4 linked regions of the Drosophila melanogaster genome follow. The protein of the gene in region 3 interacts with the protein of the main gene of each other region in a pairwise test. Each region holds a gene or a part of one and is shown on either strand. Other genes may lie near its edges.

What was found.
Region 1: the proteins of Scr (region 3) and apt interact in a protein complementation assay, tested with the Drosophila melanogaster proteins (one study listed by BioGRID).
Region 2: the proteins of Scr (region 3) and tsh interact in a two-hybrid assay, tested with the Drosophila melanogaster proteins (2 studies listed by BioGRID, with this or other methods).
Region 4: the proteins of Scr (region 3) and wrd interact in a two-hybrid assay, tested with the Drosophila melanogaster proteins (one study listed by BioGRID).

Annotation. Positions count from the first base shown.
Region 1 is NT_033778.4:23,594,776-23,600,073, reverse strand, and holds apt (apontic), read right to left. Parts: upstream 3,483-5,298; 5' UTR 3,327-3,482; coding exon 3,276-3,326; intron 3,183-3,275; coding exon 3,077-3,182; intron 3,015-3,076; coding exon 2,754-3,014; intron 2,691-2,753; coding exon 2,444-2,690; intron 2,382-2,443; coding exon 1,547-2,381; 3' UTR 548-1,546; downstream 1-547. Other genes in the region: CG42559 (uncharacterized protein), read left to right, coding at 1-16; CG42560 (uncharacterized protein), read left to right, coding at 124-194, 254-317, 380-526.
Region 2 is NT_033779.5:21,827,026-21,831,627, forward strand, and holds the start of tsh (teashirt), read left to right. Parts: upstream 1-1,567; 5' UTR 1,568-2,780; coding exon 2,781-2,833; intron 2,834-4,602. UniProt on the Drosophila melanogaster protein: Homeotic protein that acts downstream of Arm in the Wg cascade during embryogenesis to determine segment identity throughout the entire trunk.
Region 3 is NT_033777.3:6,846,945-6,851,934, forward strand, and holds the start of Scr (Sex combs reduced), read right to left. Parts: upstream 3,038-4,990; 5' UTR 2,601-3,037; intron 1,562-2,600; exon of another isoform or gene 972-1,561; intron 1-971. UniProt on the Drosophila melanogaster protein: Sequence-specific transcription factor which is part of a developmental regulatory system that provides cells with specific positional identities on the anterior-posterior axis.
Region 4 is NT_033777.3:18,171,315-18,178,876, reverse strand, and holds wrd (well-rounded), read right to left. Parts: upstream 6,034-7,562; 5' UTR 5,928-6,033; intron 5,752-5,927; 5' UTR 5,593-5,751; coding exon 4,687-5,592; intron 4,338-4,686; coding exon 3,833-4,337; intron 3,545-3,832; coding exon 3,348-3,544; intron 3,275-3,347; coding exon 2,940-3,274; intron 2,874-2,939; coding exon 2,643-2,873; intron 2,571-2,642; coding exon 2,178-2,570; intron 2,073-2,177; coding exon 1,829-2,072; coding exon of another isoform or gene 1,784-1,828; exon of another isoform or gene 1,636-1,783; intron 975-1,635; coding exon 831-974; 3' UTR 502-830; downstream 1-501.

The sequences.
Region 1 (5,298 bases), on a different chromosome or scaffold from region 3:
GAGTCTCGAAAAATGACCTATCAAACGGTAGGCTATCACTTTTAAGTTTGTCAATATTCCACCTTGAAATACCTCATCAGTTACTATAGTAAATTCCAAATTATCTTCCTCCGTAAGGATACAATGCTGAAGTTGGTCGAAAAGCTTTTCCAACTGTTGCGACCCAGGATGTGTCAGTTTTCACAATCCAACAAGTGAGTTCCGTGTTCTGAGCACTTATGGCTTCGCTTATTAGATGCATCTCTGTATCCAGGAACATATCCAAGCATTTGTTCGAAAAAGCCAGGGCGGAGGAGAACATACATTTCCTTAAACTGGTTGGTTTGTGATCTCAAAAAACGAAAGTAATCTATTTAAATTTAATTGCAAATTTACCCAGCAACGGGAACAGCTGAAGTCGTTGCGAGAAAAGATTCTCAGCCAGAAGAACGAAGTCACAACAAAGATCATCAAGGTGGATAAGCAGATACAATCGTTGGAAAAAACCAAGACCGAAGGCTCACAGATGAACCATGAACAAAATTAATAAAGTGTAGCTGAAACATTTGCTTGTTTTGTTTTGTATTTTATTTAAAATAATTTGTATCTCTCATTTACACGCTTTACAAAGAAGTCTTCTACGACAACTGAAGCCGAGTTGGCGGCCTTCTTCAAGCCTGCTTATACGTAGGGTACATACATATCATATATTATATATGGTAACAATTTGTTTTGCAGCGCAAACGGAAAATATGAATTAAAAAGAACTTTCATGTAATATGGCATTGAAACAAACATATATAGGGTCATATATATATCAACATAGTCTATACAAAGATACAAATAAATACAAGTTCAAGTAAGAATCAAAATCAGAGACAACTGCCGATTGTGTATGATGCATTGACATATATAAGGTTCTTCTCTTAGGACTATGAAAAATAATCTTGTGTGCATTTCATGTTCGTTCAAATCGTTAGTTGTGGGGTAGCAGAGGTCAAGAACGTAAGTACAATACATTTGTGGTAGTTGAGCAACTTGGAGAGAGTGGTTCCCATACGAACTAAAACTAGAAACTAACTAAACTTGACTTGACTTGGTCAAGTGCTGGTTAGGCCAGAAGAGAGTGTGTCTGTGTGTGTGTGTCTGCTAGCTGAGTGTGTGCATATTGTGTGTGTGTGTGTGTGTGTGCTTGTGAGGTAGGCGATTCATCATCATCATCGTCATCATCATCATAAGATTATGGCATACTTCCGAGCGCCTCCTGATCCTCGCTGGGGTTCTTGGGTTCGGTTCTGTGTGTCGGGTTTCGCTTCTAGCTTTCAAATACTGATCAACAATGCCAGGAATGTCTCTCTGTGTGTCGGGTCTGGATGTGTAGCTGTGGATCCTGCTTTCAACTTAAGACTAACTCTAGTGCTAACTCTAGTCGATTCCCAATCACGCTCTCTGCCTGCGAACGTGACCGAGTTGACAGGCTTTATTTCTATAAACTAATGTAACATGAAACGGCGATGGGCTGCTGCTGCTGTTGCTGCTGCTGCTCCTTTTGCTGCTGCACTGCCTCCTAACTGGGCAGTCGCTTGCTGGCCAGCTCCAACTGCAGCTTCTGCAGCGCCAGTGTCTTGTTGATCTCCACTAGGTCGCGACTGTGCTTTGCCGCCTGCAACTGCACCTCCAGGATCTTCATGCGCATCATGTGCTCCTTGCTCTGCATCTCCATGAACATGCGCAGCTCAAAGTTGTTGTTGTTGCTGCTGCTGCTGTTGGCATTGGTGCTGACTGCCGTTCCCGGCATGGTCAATCCATTGCTGCTGCCGGACCGCTCTAGGGCCTGCGAGTCCGAGGATGCTGGCACTGATGGGGCCAGGACTGGTGCCTGATCCTCGCTGCCCAACATGCTACCACTGCTGGTGCGCTGTCTCTTAGACTGCGGCTTCATGCTGTCCTCGTCGTCCTCGTTGTTGTTGTTATTGTTGTTGTTGTTATTGTGCTGGTGATGCATGGCGACCTGGGCCTGTGCCTGGTGCTGGTGAATGGCGGCCGCTGCCGCTGCTGCTGCACTGGGAAATTGGCCAGAACGGAGGGCATTCAGTGCCTCCAGCGTGGCGGATATGTTGTTCATGTTGAAGTTGGCCTGGAAGCCGGACATGTCACCTCCTCCGGCCATATAGGCACCGCTCGAGTCCAGGACATTAGATGTGGAAATCGTGGCGGGACTCTCGGCCTCGTGGATCCCGTTGCGACTGATGCTGTGATTAGGCGACACACTGAGACGCTCGCCGCTGCCAAGGATGTCGCTCTGGTTGAGGTGGTGATGGTTGAAGGTCTCGTTGAAGGTCTCGTTGTTCTCCTCCTCCTTGATGTCCACATCGCACAGTTCCTGCGGCGGTGTGCGGCTGCTGCTCAAATAGAGAATGCTCAATAAAGATCTATTCAGACTACCACATAGCGATCAACTTACTCATCCATGTCGTGGTCTTCGGGATTGAATTTGTAATCCTCACGATACTCAAAACCCTCCTCCAAGGCCAGTGGAATCTTAGAGTAATCAATGCCATCCAGGGCCTCCGATTTGCATGCCTTCTTCGCCTCCTGCATGAAATCCCACACCTCGAAGGTGAACGGAGATGGCTTCTTGCGATCGGCCACCTCTGCTCCAAACCTGGCCAGGCGATTATTGTAGTCCAGGATCTCGTTGCGAGTACATGCTAAAGGATGAGATCGAAAAGGTTAGCTTTGCCATTAAATATATGTATTTTATAAAGACTTACCCTTCATGCGACGCCACTGTTCCTTCAGGCGATTGCAGGTGCGATCGGTGCCAAACTGATTGGAGAACTTCTGGTGGATAATCTTCCATGCCTTGTTCTTCACGGCGGTCAGACCGGCATCCAATCTCTTGTTCTCGATAATGCGCATGTCCTTGCGACACAGATCGAGTAGGTATTTCTTCTCCTGGTGGTTCCAGTTCTGGGTGCGTTCCCTCTTCTTGTACATGTTCATGGAAGGACTGTTCATGTACTGTGTCATTTCTGCAAGCATTCGATGATTGAATTAAGTTCCTTCAACGGTCACTTCGTTTTGTTTAACTTACCCGTCTTTATGTCGACGCCCTCCAGCAAGTTGTGATTGGAATTTTGCCAGTTGGCGGCAATCTTCATAAAAGCCTCCAGATCGGTGGCCGAATACTGTTTGTTGACCTGCAACGGAAGCAAGAAGCGAGTGGCAGGAGGTGAGAAATCAGTGATTCGTATTGGGAGGTAACTAGTAACTGGCAAGAGTCCCCAAATTACCCGCACAGTGGAATTAGAAGCCCCAGATTGGCCTTCCCAGTAGTTGAGCATACAAAACTTGTGCCAAATTCCGCACCAAACGAAAGCGATTCGCGGGACGCACTCGAAAACCCAATGAACTTGGCGATGAATACTGCCAAAGTCGAAAGCAATCGAAAAATTTGGAGTTTTTCGGTAATTATCAGAGTGTTACTTGGGGCACATCAATTGGGTTTTTGTTTTCAGACAGTAAGGTCAGTGAAAACAAAAGGATTCTGATTCGGATTCTGAATCTGAGTCGTTGAGTCTTGAATTCCTTCTCTTGTTTTCATTCCCTTATTCCATCGAATTTACCCTACCCTGGATGATATCTGACTTTGACATGAGCAGCTATAGGATGCAGTCACATTAATTGATTTTCAATTAGCAGACAGGCGGACAGATGAACCGAGCGGAGAAGGGGGGGAAGGAGGTGTGAGCGATATCGGGGGTATATGGGTACGAATGGGCTAAAAAGAATGTGAATATACGAACAATCGAATGAATTGAGCAGCCATAAGACGAAAAAAAAAAAAGTAAAAAACCATCAAATAATAATGCCATGAAACGCGTTTTAATTTATAAGCTAACACAACAAGCAGCTGCCGACATTTTGTTTGTTTCGAAAATGTATCTGTGCGGTTGCTCGGTATCCGAATCCGAGTATTGGTGCGATTGAGTGGAGCGATCAAGAGACATACTGACAGCCAATTATATCTAATCAAGTACATATATATTCAAATGTACTATATAAATATTCCAGAATGTGCATTTACTCAACGCGTTCTTCGGTCGCTTTCTGGCTCCTTCGATTGTTCCCCCGTCTCGAAATCAGACACAAAAATTCCCTCATAATTTAGTAATAAAAGAATATTAACTAAATTGGGAAGAGCATAGAATTATCAATAACCCTTTGCAGACAACACGAATGCCCAAATCCAAAAAAGAGCTCAACTGTACTTGCCATATATTGTCTTCATCGAAACTCTTTCATTGATCGCTCCCCCAAAAAACACAATCGTCAATCTTAAGTACGTTTTATGGTGCTTTATTTTATTTCAATTTTGTTCAGTTCCTTCCGTGCCCCTCAACTACCCCACCCCCACCCCCCCTGCAGCCATCGAACACCCACAACTCTTGGGTGTATAAACTACTGCGCCATGTGTTCAATATTTATGCCGTATCTGATTTACAATTTATACTTATACTCGGCACTCGTATGTGTACCTCGTACACTCGAACTACGTATCTAGATACATACGTATATATGTACATTCGCATTTATCGCGTACTCGAAGACTGAAAGGAGACTTAGTCATTGGAGACGCGGCGCGTGCGCTTATTATTTTTTATTATTTGAGCTCTTCCTATATACATATATAAACTCATATTTATTAGCAAACAATTAATTATTACGGCCGACTATTATGGAGCTGTTTAAATTTTAGTCATGAGCTGCGGGGTGGTTAAACCGCTCCTTTTGGGAAGATACACGCAGAGAAAACGATATGCTGATTTGAGAAATCAATAGATTCTTCAATGGGAGGTTCTCGTACTTTCAAGCCCATGAGATGCCAGAGTTTCTGTCAGTGCATTCAAGGAATGCCAGAATCATTTAAATTCGAGGCGAGTGCCAATTATTCGCCAGGGTGGGGCTCCAGCCAAGTTAGTCAAAGATGAAGTTCGAAGATGCCAACTGTGAAATTCTGTGCCCGAAAGAACGCGCTGCTCTCCAGGATCTCTCAAGCGATTTGATACCATTTTTGTTTCGATTCGGAAATGTAACTAAATTACGTCAATCCGCGATGTATATTGGATTGTTTGCTGGCACTCCGCTTTTGGGGCTGGCAGCTCGCACACTCATAGAGGTAATCACACTCCTCCAATCAATGTGACTTCAAAACTAAGCATTGAAATTAAATAAGCAAACTGGTTTAGATTTTGGTCATCTACGTCTGTGAGCGTATGAGTATGACTGTTTGTTGTTATCTGCTTTTGTGGGCTG
Region 2 (4,602 bases), on a different chromosome or scaffold from region 3:
TTCTATTTTGGGTGAACCTTTTCTTAACCGATTTGCTTCTGCCATTCGGATCATTATTCTGTTGGAATTTCCATTTTAAGGGCATATTATAATAAGAATATGACAGTAAGACATCCCTTAGTATATTTACACATGCGTTTTGGTCTATAATACCATAAATCATATGTTATGGACTCATACCATTGTAAAAAATAAACAAGCCCATACCAGTATTGCAGGTCCACCGTGATTGAAAGTCTTCAGTGGGTGTTTTGGGTGGTACTCGGTGTTTGGAGGTCGTCAGATATAACCATATGAACCAGTTCCACCAAATAGCACTATTTTTAACACATCAGTCCAGGGGATATTACGCCATTTGGAGACTGGCCAGTTTAGGTGGGTTTTAGCGAAGTTTAACCTTGGCTTAAAATGCCTTGGGCTAAGTAGGGGCACCTTTCGTGGACTCCTCGCAACTAAATTTTGATTCAGTAGTCGTCTCCGTAAATATGCATAGGAATCAAGGCAATGCTCGGTTACCGGTTGATAATTTTATAGAATAATGTATATAATGTTTTATAATGTAATGTATTATAATGTATCGAAAGTTACTATTTTATACGTTTGTCAATTTATGTGAAAAAGTACATGCAATATATAAACTTAAGGTAACCAGGGTCGGCACAAAGAAAAATATTGTAGATGCACTTATTAGACGTGATCTTGAGTATTAATGATACTAGTATTTAAATAGTATTCAATGCTGTCATCTTTTAGACTGTATAAAGGCACTTATTAAACCAAATTTGTACTTCATTCGGCTTTATACTTTCATATGTACATCAATGTTCTTACACAGCCTTACATTCACGCATTCACAAACATTGACACCTTGCCATGAAAACTAATAAAATCGCGGCATTTTGGCACATTTTCAGAGGAAAGAACGGCCGGAGTGTCGCTAATTCAATTGTTTTCGCAGCCAAAAAGAAAAGTGGAATGGGTTGATTTCAAGTGAAAATTGCCCCAAACCACTTTTCCACTTTTTCACTCTCCTACTCGCTCGCACAGCAATGCAACGAAACAAAAGAAGCGAGATCCACGAAGAAGCTGCAGAAAGGCGAACAAAAGTTGACAGCAGAGGGTATGAAGGAAGGTGAGCGAGAGGGAAGAGGCTAAAAGTGACGAGGGCGAAAAGCTCAGAGAGCAACAACTACTGTTTATTTTGAAAAGAAATAAAAACAGAGCAGGGACCGACACAGTTTGAGTGGCTGCGAGCAGGACGGCGCATGCGAGTGAGAGCATTTTTGTTAAACTGTCATAAATCTTAATTGTGATGGAATCGGATTCGGAATAGGACAAAAGAAGGGTGACGAAACGACAAAACAGATTTCACACACTTTCGGAGCAAGCGAGACGGAGCGGTCCCACAACGCTATCTCTTTCCCTAGCGATTTCCCCTGTTTCAGTTCCAAGCGTTCACTTGCCAGCACAGGGGAAAGTCTGCGCTCTTGTCGCTCTCTCTCTCTCTTCTCTCTCGCGCTCTCTTTTGGCTACCCATCGGTTTCGGGTTCTTTTCGCCAAGAGTCAGTCAGTCGACAAGAAACCGTTACTGCGTACGATCGTGCGAAAAAGCTCGGCGCACTTGGAAAAATCGTACGGTAATTAGTTAGCCGAGTGCCGGCGAGTGCGAGCGAGAGAGTAGCACATTTAATCACGCTGACAGCCAGCTTGTCCTGCAAGGGTGTGGGTGGCACACACGGCACACACAACACACACACAAGTGCGCAGCCGTCGCCAGAACGCAAAATCGAATCAGAAATTGCCGTCGCCAAAACGCGGGCTTCGTGTTTGCTCGTCAACAGCAGCGCAGCTTCCAATCGCTGCGCGTCCGTCGCGTCGCTTCATTTTTTCATCCGTATCAATCAGTGAAGGCAGAGCAGCAGCGCCCCGTTGTTGTTGTTTGTCAGCTTGACAGCGACGGCAGCGCAGCAGCAGCGCACCGGCAGAGCACCGCAGCAGAGGCTAGTGACGAAGGAACCCGGCCAGCGGGATTCAATCGCCTTTGGACTTTCGTTCGAGTAGTGACGACGAATCCGGATGAGAAGACGCACGCATCGCGACCCGCGGTTCCGCCAGAACAGTGAATTCTCAGTTTAAAACGCGTTTTTGGGGGAGGATAGAACGAGTGTTTTCCAGGCCGCCATCATATCTAGTCAAAGAAGCAGAGGTTTGATACTCTCGAACGCAAATGCTCGATCAAGACTGAAACATACGAGAAACATACAACTACAAATGGTTCAACAAAGTATACGTAAAACTACCACAAGCTAAACAAAATATACCACAAAAATATATTTATTACCAAAACTAAAGATAAACTATTGCAAATATTTACATTAAACGGTATTTAATTCACCAAAATTACACTACATACATAATGTAAAGCCAGTTACTTAAATCAACAAACCTTAACGAAGTATACGATTCAATGCAATTAATAAATTAAATTTAAATCAACACAAATTAGGAATTAAAAATACAAACGCCTCGAAACGTCATTTTTTGTCTGACATACGAAAGTTTATAAATTACAAAATCCAAAAAATATAAATTAATCAGTTATACGCTGCAACAACAACAAGTTATACTACAACGTACCAAGTGCAAAACAATAGATTATATGATCATTGTGTCAAACTAAAGTTAAGTTCCAAAATCCAACTAAAATCCTCGTTGTTTGCTCCAAAAAGAGCAAACCATCCAAGTTCCAGCAAACCGTCAAAATTCAGCAAAATTTAAAAATGTTACACGAGGCTCTGATGCTCGAGATCTACAGACAGGCGCTAAATGCCGGGTAAGTGTTATATGGAAGATTATTTCCATAGAACAGTGAAAGATGTAGAATTAAGAAAAAGATTCACATGGCCTTATTCGGGGGATTCAAAAATGTGACTACTCTGGGTATGAAGGATAAACGAACTGAGATTTTACTACCAAAGTGCATCAAAGTGTTTTTCATTATGAAATAGTGAAATATTGAATTCTTAACTAAAAGTGGCCATACTCAAAATATTCACATATAAAATAATTACATTCATCTCATTCAGTTAATATTATTTTTTTGCAATTGCTTTTTATGTGCGTTCAAGTATCTGGTTAAATAGAATATTATATATACCAAGTATATACGACATATATTGAATATAGAACGTTTTCAATCAAAATCAAAAACCATTGTCATTGTGAACTGATAGCCGAACTTGTTGAAATAGTATTGCAGACTCTCAACCACAAATCGGCCAAATAAATATATCAAGAAACTATGATTTCATGGCATTTGATGATTGGCATTGGCGGTTCGGCGTAGTCGCACACCTGTCGTTATAAATTCAGCGCCTCGCCAATAGCGCGCCCATATATCACAACACCCACCCGCAGAACCAAGAGTACTGAGTTCACGACTACGAGTCCAGACCCTCGGATCGGGAAAAGCAGAACTTGATTTGAAAAGGGTGGCTGGCAGGGGAAATCCGAAAATAACAGAAAAATCGCCATAGTTCGATGATGGGATACTAACTTGGGGTAAGCGTTTGTGTATCTGTATCTGGGTTTCTCTGAAATTATGATTAAACAAGTTCAAGATATTTTTCGAACTCGCTCTCGAACAGTCACTCGAGTGAGCCTGAGTCTGAGCAAATTAACTGAAGGCTAAAAACGGGTTTTATGACACTATATTTGCGGGGGCGAGGGTATTCGGGGGTGCATCTGGAGTATTAATAATAAAGTGCGACAAATTGTCTCGCTCTCGTTTGATTTGCATGCAGATACACACGAATTTTCAAGATTTTCCAAGGCGATGACGTAGTCGAATTGAATAAATCATGCGAAAAAGTGAAAAACTCAAAATACGCTACGCTCTGCTTGCCATCTTTTCCATTCTCCACCCCCTCCAATTTCCCCGTGTGCGCCTATTACCGGAGAGATTTATGTTCACAATTTGCCGCTGGCGTGTGCGTGTGCGTGTGGCTGTATCTCCGGGTGCATGTGTATGTTTAGTAATATTTACTCTGCTACCTTAACGGATTTGTCGTGCCTTAGATTTGCTTTAACAGGGACAGTGTGTTGTATTCGGCACAAATAGATATACTGTTATTAATAACCTTCATTTCGCAGTATATAGTAAAAATATACTAGGGAATAAACATTTTAAACAATAATTCTACTATAAAAAAATTCAGATCGGTCAACTCATATTTATTTATATTCTCACCTGAGGTCCAACCAACTCTCCCATATCACACCAATGGGTGTACTCCCACTATTTTAGTTAGCCTGAGCGTTACGGGTGCATATCAATATGCAACTCTCTCGATTATTAATGAGACATTTCAACTTGTAATTAACTGCACTTGCTGGAGTTGCGTATAAATCATTTTGATTTAAGCCTAATCGAATAACGAGATTTCAGATTATGATATGCTGGCGGAGAAAACTCGTTGCCAAGTATTTTATACTAGTCAAGCAAAATAATGGAGAAACGAGCCGCTAAATGGGTTGTTTGCGGGCTCAATCGCCCCTTGCAATCTGGATAGCTAATTAGCGGTGAGTGATTGCGCGGTGTGT
Region 3 (4,990 bases):
AATACTGCCCAGGAGCATCGCCTTTACTCGGTCATTGGCAAAGTCCCATGAAGTTCCAGCCCAGTGCGTCTTCTTTTATTTTACATAATTTCATGTTCGCCCCATGGCGTCTTGGCCAGCATGAGTTCGAGTTCCCCGGATAGTAGCCAAGCCTATATCGTGGGCATTTCTTCATCCCTATCCCAGCTTGGGCTCGGTATATAACGCTATGTGTCTGGATTAACCTTCTATATGCGGCGCTTGTTAGGCATTTTTCATTCGCTGTGACATTTCGCCTTTGTGCCTCTTAATTATTTCAAAAGCGGCTGCATTTCGCTTTAATGAAGTGAAAATTCCTTGCGTTGATACCGCACACGCAACCTTATGAAAAATTGCTTAAACAGAATACAGAAACAAAGCCCCGATATAGGGAAATATATAAAATGTATTTTCTGGGTTCGGTTACTAGGTATCAAAATATATTTCATTGATTTTTTCAAATTATATTATTTGATATGGAGTGTCTTAAGAAGCAAACAGGGGAAATTATTACGCACCTTTGATGATTTCTTCAAAGAATATTAAATTGATTTATTAAAGAAATTAAAAATTTCTTATTTTTTTTTAACTTACTAGTGTTGGTATTATTTCTTCAATAAGAAAGTCAAAGTACAAGATAAAGATTGTAAGATTAAAAATAAAATTTAAGGTGGTAGAAATATTGTTACTTAAAAAAATATGTACATACGAACAAAGCACTTTTTTATTGTAAATATTATTTGATAAATAAAATCGCATCAAATTGTTAAGAAAAAACTATAATTAAATTGCTTTAGACCAAATATTGCTACATAAGTTCTTAACACATCAAAAAAAAAAACACTAGAAAATACAAAACAAAAACTGACAACGAATAAATATCCTTTCCATGACTGTTTTCACCTGTTCCAAAGCGCTTAAAATATTTTCAGCCGTTAAACTCGTTTACTCACAATTTTAGTTAGCCGACGGCGTTCACCTCCGTTCAAGTGAGTTTGTTTTCTGATTTTCACTGCACTGAACCACGATTTTCACTTGTGCTGAGTGCGGAAATCAACGTGCACAATTACGAAGGTAGAATTGTCACAACCAGCCGGATATCTGGGAAATTAATCCGATGGCATCCTGAGGGCAAACTGGCTAGACTTTTGCGTCCTACCTGCAGGCTTATGTTTTGGATGGTTCTAATGGGTAATTGGCCGCAAAGGGCTAAGCGACGGATTTGGACGGCTTTTGGTATCACAAACACACAAGCACACGCGCAATTTGTTACAGATCACGATAAGTATATGCGCTATGACGGAGTATCTAAGTATCTGCGCGAATTTCACGCCGAATTTATGACTGTCCATCAGCGCCAGCATCGATGCAAGCACTTTGCAGTCCATCCATCTTTCGCTAAAATCGAACAGTATTCGAGGGTCTTTACACGCGGAACAGCTGAGTGTTGGATTGTTTGAGTTTTTTTATTTGTGCTTTTTTTTCTGTTATTCCGGTGTATCCGCGGATACGTGCTCGAAGCGCCAATGTCTCACTTTGACTGCTCGGGCATAATTCAAATTTCTGAGCATCAATAAAAAACACAGATACGCCAGCGCTCTGGCTCACTCATACTGCTCCATTTCCCCCGTCCAATTGTATCTGCGAGTACGAGCAAGTAAGGCTATATGGCTATACAGCTACATATCGTCGTCCAAGTGCAGTGTTCATTATTCGAAAAGTGTGCGAGAGAGACAACGGGCATTGCGCCGCTCCGCCATCTCGCTCGCTCTCAGGCATGTGCTGAAACTACCTTTGCGGACGCGAAGAACGTTTCGAATCAACCGCCAAACCAGAAATTCGTTCCCACAAATTGTATCTCACGGATACGAATACGACACATCGGTGTGTGTGTGTGTGAGTTCGAAAGAGCGGTAGTTCGAAAAGCACCGCTCTCGCGTGTTTCGAACAAGTTCTTATTGAGAGAGATCGTTACTCGGTAGTTCGAAAATCATGTTTCGAACTGCGACTAAAGTCTTATTGTTCTCACCGACACTGTCCGTGTGAGATCGATTTCGGGGGACCAAATCATAAACATTCGAACTCCGTACTTTGGGCTAGTTGGGATAAAATCAAGACTCTGGGACTCATTTTGGGAGTTTGGAGAAGTAAAATCTGTCTCTGAAGATTTAATATATATTTTTAATGTTGTTCATATATTTTTTTTTAGTTAAGTGTGCAGTTAGTTTATATAACATTTGGAGGTATTGCAAAGAAGTAAAGTAATTGGATTTCTGAACTTGCTAAAATAATATATATTTATAAAAAATATATATATATATATTATATTGATTTTTTACAATTGACACCTTTTTTGTATTCTACAATATTTATTGTTTGTTAAATTGACTCTAAAATATTCAATCCTCCACACCACAGTGCAGTTTTAATTCAGAATGATTTGAGTGGAAAAGTTTAGAAAGGTTAAAAGGAACCATTTAACGATATATCGATGGTTTCATTTAAACCTTTAAGGGCAAAACTTTCTTAAATTTTCTTCTTACATTCAGAGTTTAGTTTTTCTACGTTTGTTATTTTCTTACCTTTATGTGGACGATTTGGGGAAATCCAATCAGACGCTACGAACAAGTCGTTGTAATTCAATTAGTTTTCTTAGCCAGCACTTCACTGTATACTTTTTATTTTCGTATTAATTGTATTTGCCTTTTGCACTGCACTTTGCTATCTTAGTTATTTGCGAAGATGAGCAGTTTGAGAAATTATTTGAGGTGGGTAGGTAATTCCGCTCCTATGTAAAGGAGTTAGTCGGTAAAGTATCCGCTATGGGGAGACCATGGCACCTTGCCGTCGCCAAAGAGCTTTCCATGGAATCGCAAGACTGGCTTTCAAGCGGAAACTTCGCGGATTGCTACGCGTACGAATACGAGAACGTGTATCTGTATCTTTTTATGTTTGCAGAAGACCGAGCGCGCTGCTTGGCGACTGAAGTGCGCCACGTTCAATTCACGTTTGAGCCATAAAAACCGACAAAACGACCCTCTCGTGCGTTGCCTTGTGTGCGTTTCGAACACTGTAAATCATTTGAGGACCCGGCCAACGAGTGCGAGAGAGAGGACGGACAGTGCGCATTTTCGAAAATCCTGCTGTCCCACTTGCACCCACGGCAGACTCCGCCCCCAGTCTTGATTTATGCGACGAGGGTGCCACGGCAACCGGCCTATGGCGCTCCAGCTTTTCCCTCGATTTGGGGAAAAGCGCGCTCTCGAGAAAAGCGAGAAATACGAGAAAAGCGAGAAAAAACAGGTAGTTGGCAGCCACTCCAGGACACATCTGCCCCCGGTTCACGCTCCAGATTAGGCCGAAATCATCCTAGATTAGGCGTCTCCCCCACTTTATTTGTATTCAATCGTGGCACTGTTCCGCTAAATCACCGCCACATTATTATTTCGCATTATTATTTTATAAACGTTCCGCTCCGCGTTCATTTCCATTTTTATTGGCCTGGCAAAATGCAAAGTCTCCTGCTGAAGCTTAAGTTATTCCTCCTTTAAAACGAGCTCGTTGGCAGTTGTCTCTGAATTTAAATTTATCGGTCTGTTTCGGGGCTGCGGATCGGGTTCTCTTTGGGCCGTAGCCAAGTTCAAGTTCTCATGATTCATTCAGCATCGGGGCTTAACGATTTTGATTTGTTTGGCTAAATGCCTTAATTAAAAGTCGATTTCATATTTGCTACCAACAATCCAGCATCGCATTCAGAGCTGAACACACATATGGTTTGATTTTGGCGTCATTTGAATTTGAATTCAATTGATTAGTTTGTCTCGGAGATTTAAATGTTGATTAGCTATTTTTTATCATAAAAATGAGTTGCTGGTTAAGACACACCCAAAATCGATTTTGAATGAGATTATTTTTTTTATTTTTATTTTTGGAATCTAACGTTTATGTTGCGAAACCACAAACATATACCAAATACAGATAAATGGCATAGGTCATTCGTAATATATTGCAAAAGCAAAAGTTTGTTTTAATAAGTATTTATAGTGAGTGTCTTAAAAATTATCTTATTTAAAAACGTATAAACTTAATACGTTTATTTGATACGAACTTGTAATAAAAGTGTTTTTTTAAGTGGTACTGAACGGTTACTTTCGAAACCCGAAACGCGAAATCAGCAATTCTTTCGAAAATATGTTTATTAAAATATAAATAAATTTTGTAAGTACGTATTTCGGAATTTATAGCTTAAGTTTATGTACCAATTCGATTTGTTCTTCTTATAGAAGTCGTATTTTTTGCCATATGTTTTCCGCTGTGTTTTTGAAACACACATGTCAGCTCTTTATGGTTGGCCCGCATCATCCACAAACCATATAAAAGTATAGAAAAAAACAAATGATGGAAAATAAATGAAAAACTAAAAAAAAAAAATCATAAGAGAGACGCCTGCGTGTACTTCTGTAATTGGAGTTGATGTTGGCGATGCCAGCGGGCAGCCAGCGCCAGACTCTCGTATCCCAATCCATAGCATAGCATAGCATCCTCTCGGATCCCATTCCATTCTAGATCCATGGAGGGTCCCCAGCAGCATCCAACATGTTGCAGGCGATTTTTCATCATCGCTTGCATGTTGCCTCCGATTGTAAATGTTGCCCCTCGCACACACACGCTCAATTTTTAATATGAAACAATCAGCAGCGTTTGTATTTTGTTTTTAGTTAAAGAAAACAGCGCGTAACGCGAAGTTGGAATTTTTGAATTAAATCTGGACATAGAAAAAACACAAAGAAAAACTTTGTAACTTATGTAACGCACTTATGGTAACTTTTATAATACAATGTAACATATTTATAACTAATTTTAAATTTACTTTTCCAAACATTAAACTGTTTATTTAAACAAATTTTTTTTTCTTTTCCATACACAATTACTGAATTTTATTACTATTTGGGGCTTTATATTTGAATAGCAA
Region 4 (7,562 bases), about 11 Mb from region 3:
CATATAAATATATTATGGGTATGCTGCTCTAACTGCTAGGCTAAATAGCGTACAATATTTGCAAATTTGAGTCGTGGAGTAGTAAACATGTTTTATATAGTATGTGTGTATAATAGTGGCATGTGGCATGAATGTCTGGATGTCATATAGCTATCTATGTATGCATGTGGCAGAAATCGGGGGATATATATGTACTCAATCAAGGTGGTAAACGCCTACGCCTTAAGTTAGACAATTCAAATTCAACTGTACAATTATATTCACGCGTTTACTGAAATGGTAAGAGCATAGTTGTGATACCAGATTATTGCACAATTAGATCTAATTGATAGGGCTATAGCTAAAGCAACGCTAGCAGCAACATGCATTGGGTAAAAGATATAAGAAATAAGAATATATATAAGAAGGTCATTCAGGGCTAAGCTTCACTGTGGCATGCGTTGGAGCAAAAGGGTAATCTTGAAATGCATATGCAAACGAAATTGGAGCTAGACAATCGATCTCGTTGGGGATTCTTGATCTTTATTGGTACTATGCATGATCACTAAAGATAGGTATTTTGTATGTGTATATATATATAGCAATTGGCTTGCATCCGTTGCCACGCCCCCACTCTAAGCCCCCAAATGCAAATGCATCGTTCAAAATTGTTTGTTCTCTAGTTGTGCGGATTCTATCCTTCATCTCTGGACTTGGACTTGTGCTTCTATATATGTATGCTTTCTGGCCTTAGTCTGGAGTGTGTAGGTCTATTTGGGTAAGTTCTGTGGTTTGACTATCCTCCTCATTGGAGCTACGAATATTGGTGGCGTCGGCTGGCCAGCTCTCTCCTAGTAGTTTCCATCCGGCGGCGGCGTTGTGAGGTACTCATCCGTCCGCTTGTGCTCGTTTAGCGCCTTCACGGTTCCACTGTCCGATGGCAGGTCCGATTTCCGGCGCAGCAGCGGCTTGTCCTTGTTCCGTTCGCCACGAATCTGTGTGGAACGGGAAGGGGGGTTTGGCAATAGAAAATGGACCCGCTTCTGACACTAAGGCATCGCAGCACACACACACACACACACTGGGCGGGTGAAGTTACACGGTGGTGCGGGATGATTGCGTTACGATATCGAGTGCTGTGGTGCTGGATGGAAACTCGATGACCACCAGTTGGACAACACACGACTACGATATATATATACATCTACACCCGAATGTCGAATTGTGTTACAAAGGTCTGAGATCGAGGAGTGTTGTATGGTTTCTGGTTCTGAGTTGTTAACAACATGATACATTTGACACTAGTTTTTAATAGTTATGTGCACAGATTTTACTCTAACTGGGATTCATGCTTAAAAATGGTGATTCACTTGAGGAAAATTATGTTAAGTGTTCAAATTAATAAATGAGAATCATATTGATGTTACAAAAGGAACGCGTTCTCTCATTAAAATGACCACAAATGAGTTAAAAGATGGACCAAAGTGTAATTAACATCTAAGTAAGATAAACTACATATTAATTCCGCCCAATTCGTATGCGGTTAACCAAAAGTGCAGGAGAAAAGTTGTTGTGTCGTGGATGAATTTGCATGGATGCGTTTGGTTTGGCAGACAGTGAGGTTACCAAATAATTAATAAATAAATAGACAAAGTTAAAGATATACAAATATGTATTTTTTTTTTTTTAAATGACATGAGTGTGATTATTTTAACAGACATTCGTTCGATTAGAATTAGAGTTGAAACAGAGTGGGCCTTAGCTGGGCACAGCTCACAGCGACGCCAGGATCACACGTGGCGGATTAGTAGTTGTTTAGTGTTGTTAATGTGGCAAGTGCCTGTCTCACCTCTCGGGGCTCCTGGTGCGCCTGTTTCTGTGGCGGCAGCGGAGGCGGCGGCTGGCGCGCCCTCTGCTCGCTCTGATCATACGCTGAATCGCTGTTCTCACTATATTGATCGCACAGGGCCCGGCTGTCGCTGACCGGCAGGCAGTCGTTAAACCGGCGCGCCTTTGTCCACTCCGGGTTGGTCTTGGCCAAGCTCTCCACCTGTTGCCAGAGCTCCTCCCTTTGCGACAGCTTCTCACGCTCCCTGCAATGCAAAAAAAAAAAAAAAACGCCAATGTTTAGTACAAAGTAATAAAACGTGAGTGCATCGTCCCATGGAAGTTAATTATCAACTAAAGTTAACACATACATCTGCTTCTCTTGCTTGTAGTTCTTGCTGCACTCGTCAAAAAGCCGCTGATCTATCTCCATGAACAGCTTGAGTGCATTGTAGATCAGACCATGGATGGTCTTGTTCCAGTGCGTCTTTGAGTTGCGATTGAGCGCTGGGAACATAATGGGTAATATCACCGCCGAGTTATCCGTTATCAGCGACATAATGTACTCGTTGTTCCAATAGTACAACGCACGTTCGGCCACCTGGAAATGAGGCGAAGAGACGCACTTGGCTATTTGGCGGAACAGCGGCACCATCACCTTCTGGAACTCGGCCGGCTCAATTACGTCCAACAGCTCCTCCAGCTCGTTCAAAAACATAACCTCCTTGGGACTGTGCGTCTTGGGCCAAAATTTAAGTAGGCTTCTGCAAGAATATTGAAATATGGCAGCGATAGGCTAATTAGAAAATGCGCAAAATAAGGAATTCTTTACTCACTTGATGACCGCCTCCGATAAGCTAGGATCCTTCTCCAGGAACTGCACCACACAATAGGTGAGCTGCGGATGGTAGACCGAGAGGCTCTTGGCTTTGTGCAATGGCAGCAATACCTTAAGTAAAAATTGTTTATGCTCCTCCTTAAGCGGCAGAGCAAAGCCATTGATAATGCTACCCAGGATTTCCAACAATTCGGCTATGCCATTATGATGCTCCGTTTCATAAATAAATCTAAATGTGGAATGCGATTAGTAATGTGAGGCATTAACCTTATAGATATTCCAATGACGAGCTCACCTGTAAAAGACATTGTTGATCTGCTTTCTAATAAATGCTCTCAAGCCCAAAAATTTTCCATAGATGCGATGTAAAACAGTCTTCAGGAAATCACGTTCACGTGGATCCTCCGAATCGAATAAATCCAATAGTTGTAATACAAATTGATGGTCGATAAAACGTTTTGCCATGCTTGGTTGAAAATCTGGTGACTCCAAGAAGCGCAAGAACAGCTCGTAAACGAGTTGCAGATGCGGCCACGAGGACTCCAACGTGGGCTCATCCTCCTCCGGATCGAATTCGGCACCATTCGGGTTGGACGATGGCGGCAGAGTTCGGAAAAGGTTGACAGCAAACTGATGAGAACAGATAAGTATGTTGTGGTAAAAGCATGTGATATTATTTTAAATATGTAAATTAGTAGCTTACCATATTGATCGCCTCCGGGTAAATAACTTCGGTTATTACGCCATTTTGGTTGGTGAGGAAATCGACCATTTCGTGCAGAGCCGCCCGCTTCACCTCCTTGAACTTGAGGTCGCTGAGCGGCTCGGAGAAGTCGAACAGTGTGCAGCATTGCTGGATCTTCTGTATGAACAGCTCCTCACGTTCACTGGCGGCGGTCTCTATGGAAATACAAATGAAATCATCATTAATTTTTTTAAATATATAATATAAGTGATAGATATATCAAACAAAATGTAAGCCATATAAAATTGACCTTAATATAAAATTAAAAAAAAAAAACCTACAACTACAAAAACGACCAACCAAAAGCAGGCAAGCGAAACTCAAAACGAACATAATGAAGATCGGAAGAAAGGATCAAGTAGCCGGAGGACCTCAGGCCCAAGGGCAATGGCTGGAATGGCTCCATCCATCGCCATTGGCCCGGATCCATTCGGGATAGCAACCTCGCAGTGCAGGCAGCGCCATGGCAACCGAAGCGGTGGGTGGCGTGTAGAATAGATTCCGGTCGCGAGCCCTTCCCGGACTGCCCGTCAGCTGTTGGAGCGTCTGGGGCGAGGGCTGAAGACCCGCCGGATGACCCGGCAGTATGTCACCGTTCTGCCGGATGCTTAGGCTCGATGTGGTCACCACCATGGTGGCGTTAGGTGTCACCATTACTGCTGATGACGCAGGTGCTGCGCCGCCATTGCGCTGGCCAATTCCCAATGAGATGCTAATGCCGCCCACCAGATTCTGGGCCACCGTCGGACGCATCTCCTCTGCGGGCACATCGCTGGTGGTGGGAACAGCGGCGACGGCGGTGGCGGCGGACGACGGCACAGCCGCCGCAGAGGATGGGGATGATGAGGAGGAGGTGGCCGCCGCTGCTGCCGCCGCCGCAGCACTAGTACCCACACTCTTGGTGGCATTCAGTATGTTCTTTATGGCCGCGGCCGCGCTCACAGGTGACTGGATGATGAGGAAGCGATGAAATGAGAGCAGAGTATGGTTTTGGTTTATCAAATTTCGGTTTGTTCAATTGGGATGGAGTTAGTGTTGGTGGATAGTGTGTGAGATGCTACTAAATGTATTAGCTTCTAGCGTACAATGTAAATAAAACTTTGATTAACAAGGTACTTGAATTGTTATTTTTTTCTTTGAAACTTAGTTATCGTTATCCAAAAAGCTAACACAATTAGTGAAAGTTTGGAAGAAAGTGTAAAATTTGTGGTTTGTACTTGGAGGTGGTGATGTGGTTATGTTTTGGGTTTTCAGATCGCTGGGTGTGTGTGTATGTGGACAAGACCAAGCTGCAAACCTTGCTGGCGGCGATGGAGCTGCTGGCTGCGTTGTTGGTGGCGGTGGATGAGGAGGAAGCTGACGAGGAGGACGCCGCCGAGGCAGAGGATGCCGCAGCGGCTGCCGCCGATGCTGCGGCGGATGTGGCCGCCGAGAAATGTTGTGCCAAAGTGGACACAAGTGAATTGCTGCCGCTAGCAGCGCCCGTTGACGTTGTTCCAGATCCAGATCCAGATCCTGCTCCTGCCGCGTTCTTCGACATGCCGGCATTCGAGGATAGCGAGAGCGAAGAAGTGGAGGACTGCGATCCAAATGGCGAGGAGGCAATCAGTGCAGCTGCAGCCGAATTCGCTCCACCACCGTATGTGGCGGCCGAGGATGAGGCCGAGGAGTTAGCAGCCGCCGAGGCTAGCGAGGATGAGGCCGCCTGTGAAAGCGAGGACAGGGCCGAGGCCGACGAATTGGAGCTGGTGGACGAGGACGATGGTGAGGAGGATGTGGTGGGTGCTCCGGATCCGGCTGCTCCTCCTGCTGCTGCCTCTGGCGGTGAGAGGGGCGTTTTCCGCCCCTCGAACTTGGCCTTTAGCTCCTCCACGCTGCTAAACCTGAATCGGCTGCCGGTCTGTTGCTGCTCCTGCTGCTGATCCTGCACCTGATCGTCCAACTCGTCGTCGGCCAGCTGATCTAGGCCGCTGTGAAACGATGGAGATTTGGGTATGCGTATGCCGAGGGCATAATACCCGGCTGCAATGGGCTGCGTTTCCTGCTCCTTGCTGGAGGATTTAATGGGCGCCGGTTTCTTTTGCTCTTGCTGCTGCTGTTGCGATTGCTGCTGCTGCTGCTGCGGCTCCTGCTGATGTTGCTGTTGCTGCTGTTTGGGACCTTTGAGCCCGTTGCCCGTCAGCAACATAGCACCGAAGACCATCTCATTAGTGCCGGCACTTGGAGCAAATGGCACTCGGTTTTAATCTTGATACGGAACGCTTGTTTTTTTTACCAGCCGCCCCCGCCGACCAACAACAACACATGAGAAAGACTACACTAGAAACTCAATTTGGGCACGCTAAGTATGAAACTATAGAATCTGTAATGGAATTGCAATATAGATAATGGTTTAGATTAACGCCAAATGCGATTATGCGCTGATGGTAACACAAAACGAAATGAAATGCAATTGGAAATGAAAATGGAAATGACAACGCCTCTGCTAAAATTCTTCTTTTGCCTCACAAATGGCCATAATTACGTGGAAAAACTTACGGTTCGAATGGGAACAAATGAGGGAATAGGATAGGAGAGCAATTAACTTGGGAAACGAATATTTTCAACTAATATTAAAGTTTTCGGGGCACACGACGTTCACGGTCTTGAAACGGTTTTTTTTTTGTTGCTTCGACTGCTGCGCCAATCGGAAAAATCGATATCGAGAGAGAATGAAATGGAGAGAAATTTGGTGAGCAGCAGACAGAGAGAAAATAAAGAGAGAGAAAGTGGGCTGGTGGGCGAGCGAGCCACAATAACAATAAAACCTAATAAAATAAAATAGTATTGAACAAGCGAAATTTGTTTATTCGATTTGTGAGTCGAAACCGCCCAAGCAATTAGCAGAAAGGTATGTGAATAACGCAATGCGATGACATTCATGCTGCACAGAAAAAAAAAGTGTAGCAATTTCATAATCATTACGCGCAGATATGTACATATATGATTTTCAAAAATATTGAATTTGCTTTTTTTTAAATTAATTCCCTGCAGGATACAGTTTTTCTAATTATTTGTATACACAAGTTTAAATCAATCGAATACATTTGTGTCATAAAGAAATGCCGGTGTATATATGAAATTTAAGACGGTCTGAGAAATCCTCTAACGATGCTTTCTCCCAGTGTAATGAGAGGCTGCGGAGAGAGCGCATGTGTTGAAATTCCGGTGAGTGAGAGAGGTGGAGAGAGGTGTGAATTGATGCGGCTGCTTGGTTCACATGTGTGAGTGGCCGTGCGTCAGTGTTGCCACCCACCTAATCAGACGACACTCCCTTGACCTTTAACTTTAACAAATAATAAACAAATTACAACAGCTGAGCGAAATTAATCAAGCGCCGGCCAATCAATATTCCCAACAAGCTTGCAGGTCGTAGGTACACTTTACAGAGAATGCCTCTTGTAAGTTAAAGCTGAACTTATAATCATGGAAATTTACCGGAGTTAATTGACATAATATATGTAATTATGCATCGTTAATGGGAATTACTACGATTTATACAATCTGTTTTGAGTGTATAGTTGCATAAAAACTTAATTGACGATGTTGGTAGACAGTAAGAAAGGTAATTTTATATCGCCTAAACGGAACCCTGCCCTAAAATGTATGCTACGACATGGCTACGACCAAGTTCTACCCCATGCAACCGATCTGCAGGCTTAAGAGATATCGATCTGAACAGCTGGCAGTACATGTATTATAAAGTAATATACTAAGTAGTAGGATCTACTCCAAGGCTACTCACTCTCGTTTAGCGGAATGAGGGCCGTCAGTTCGCAGTTCTTGGAGGCATTGTACCGGGCGCTGGTCTGGCGCTTCTCCTTGCGAACGATCGGGGTGCCGGTGATGTTCAGGACCTTGCTGATCGGCGTGGGCGGCGGTGCATCGTACGGTGGTGTGTTGTCCTTGAGTTTGTTAGCCTGCAAAGGGGCATAAATGACACTTATCTGATTATCTTTTCCCATGTCAACGGTTTGGCTTATGCTTAGTAAATGAAAATAATTTTAACAACGAATGCAAAGCAATATGCGGTCAAATAAAAAGCATACTCAAAACGTAGCACTTGCAAAATCAGAGCAAAGCAGTTCAGTTCGGGATGGTCCCTCGCTGCCATTTTGGCCGGCCATCGCTTTT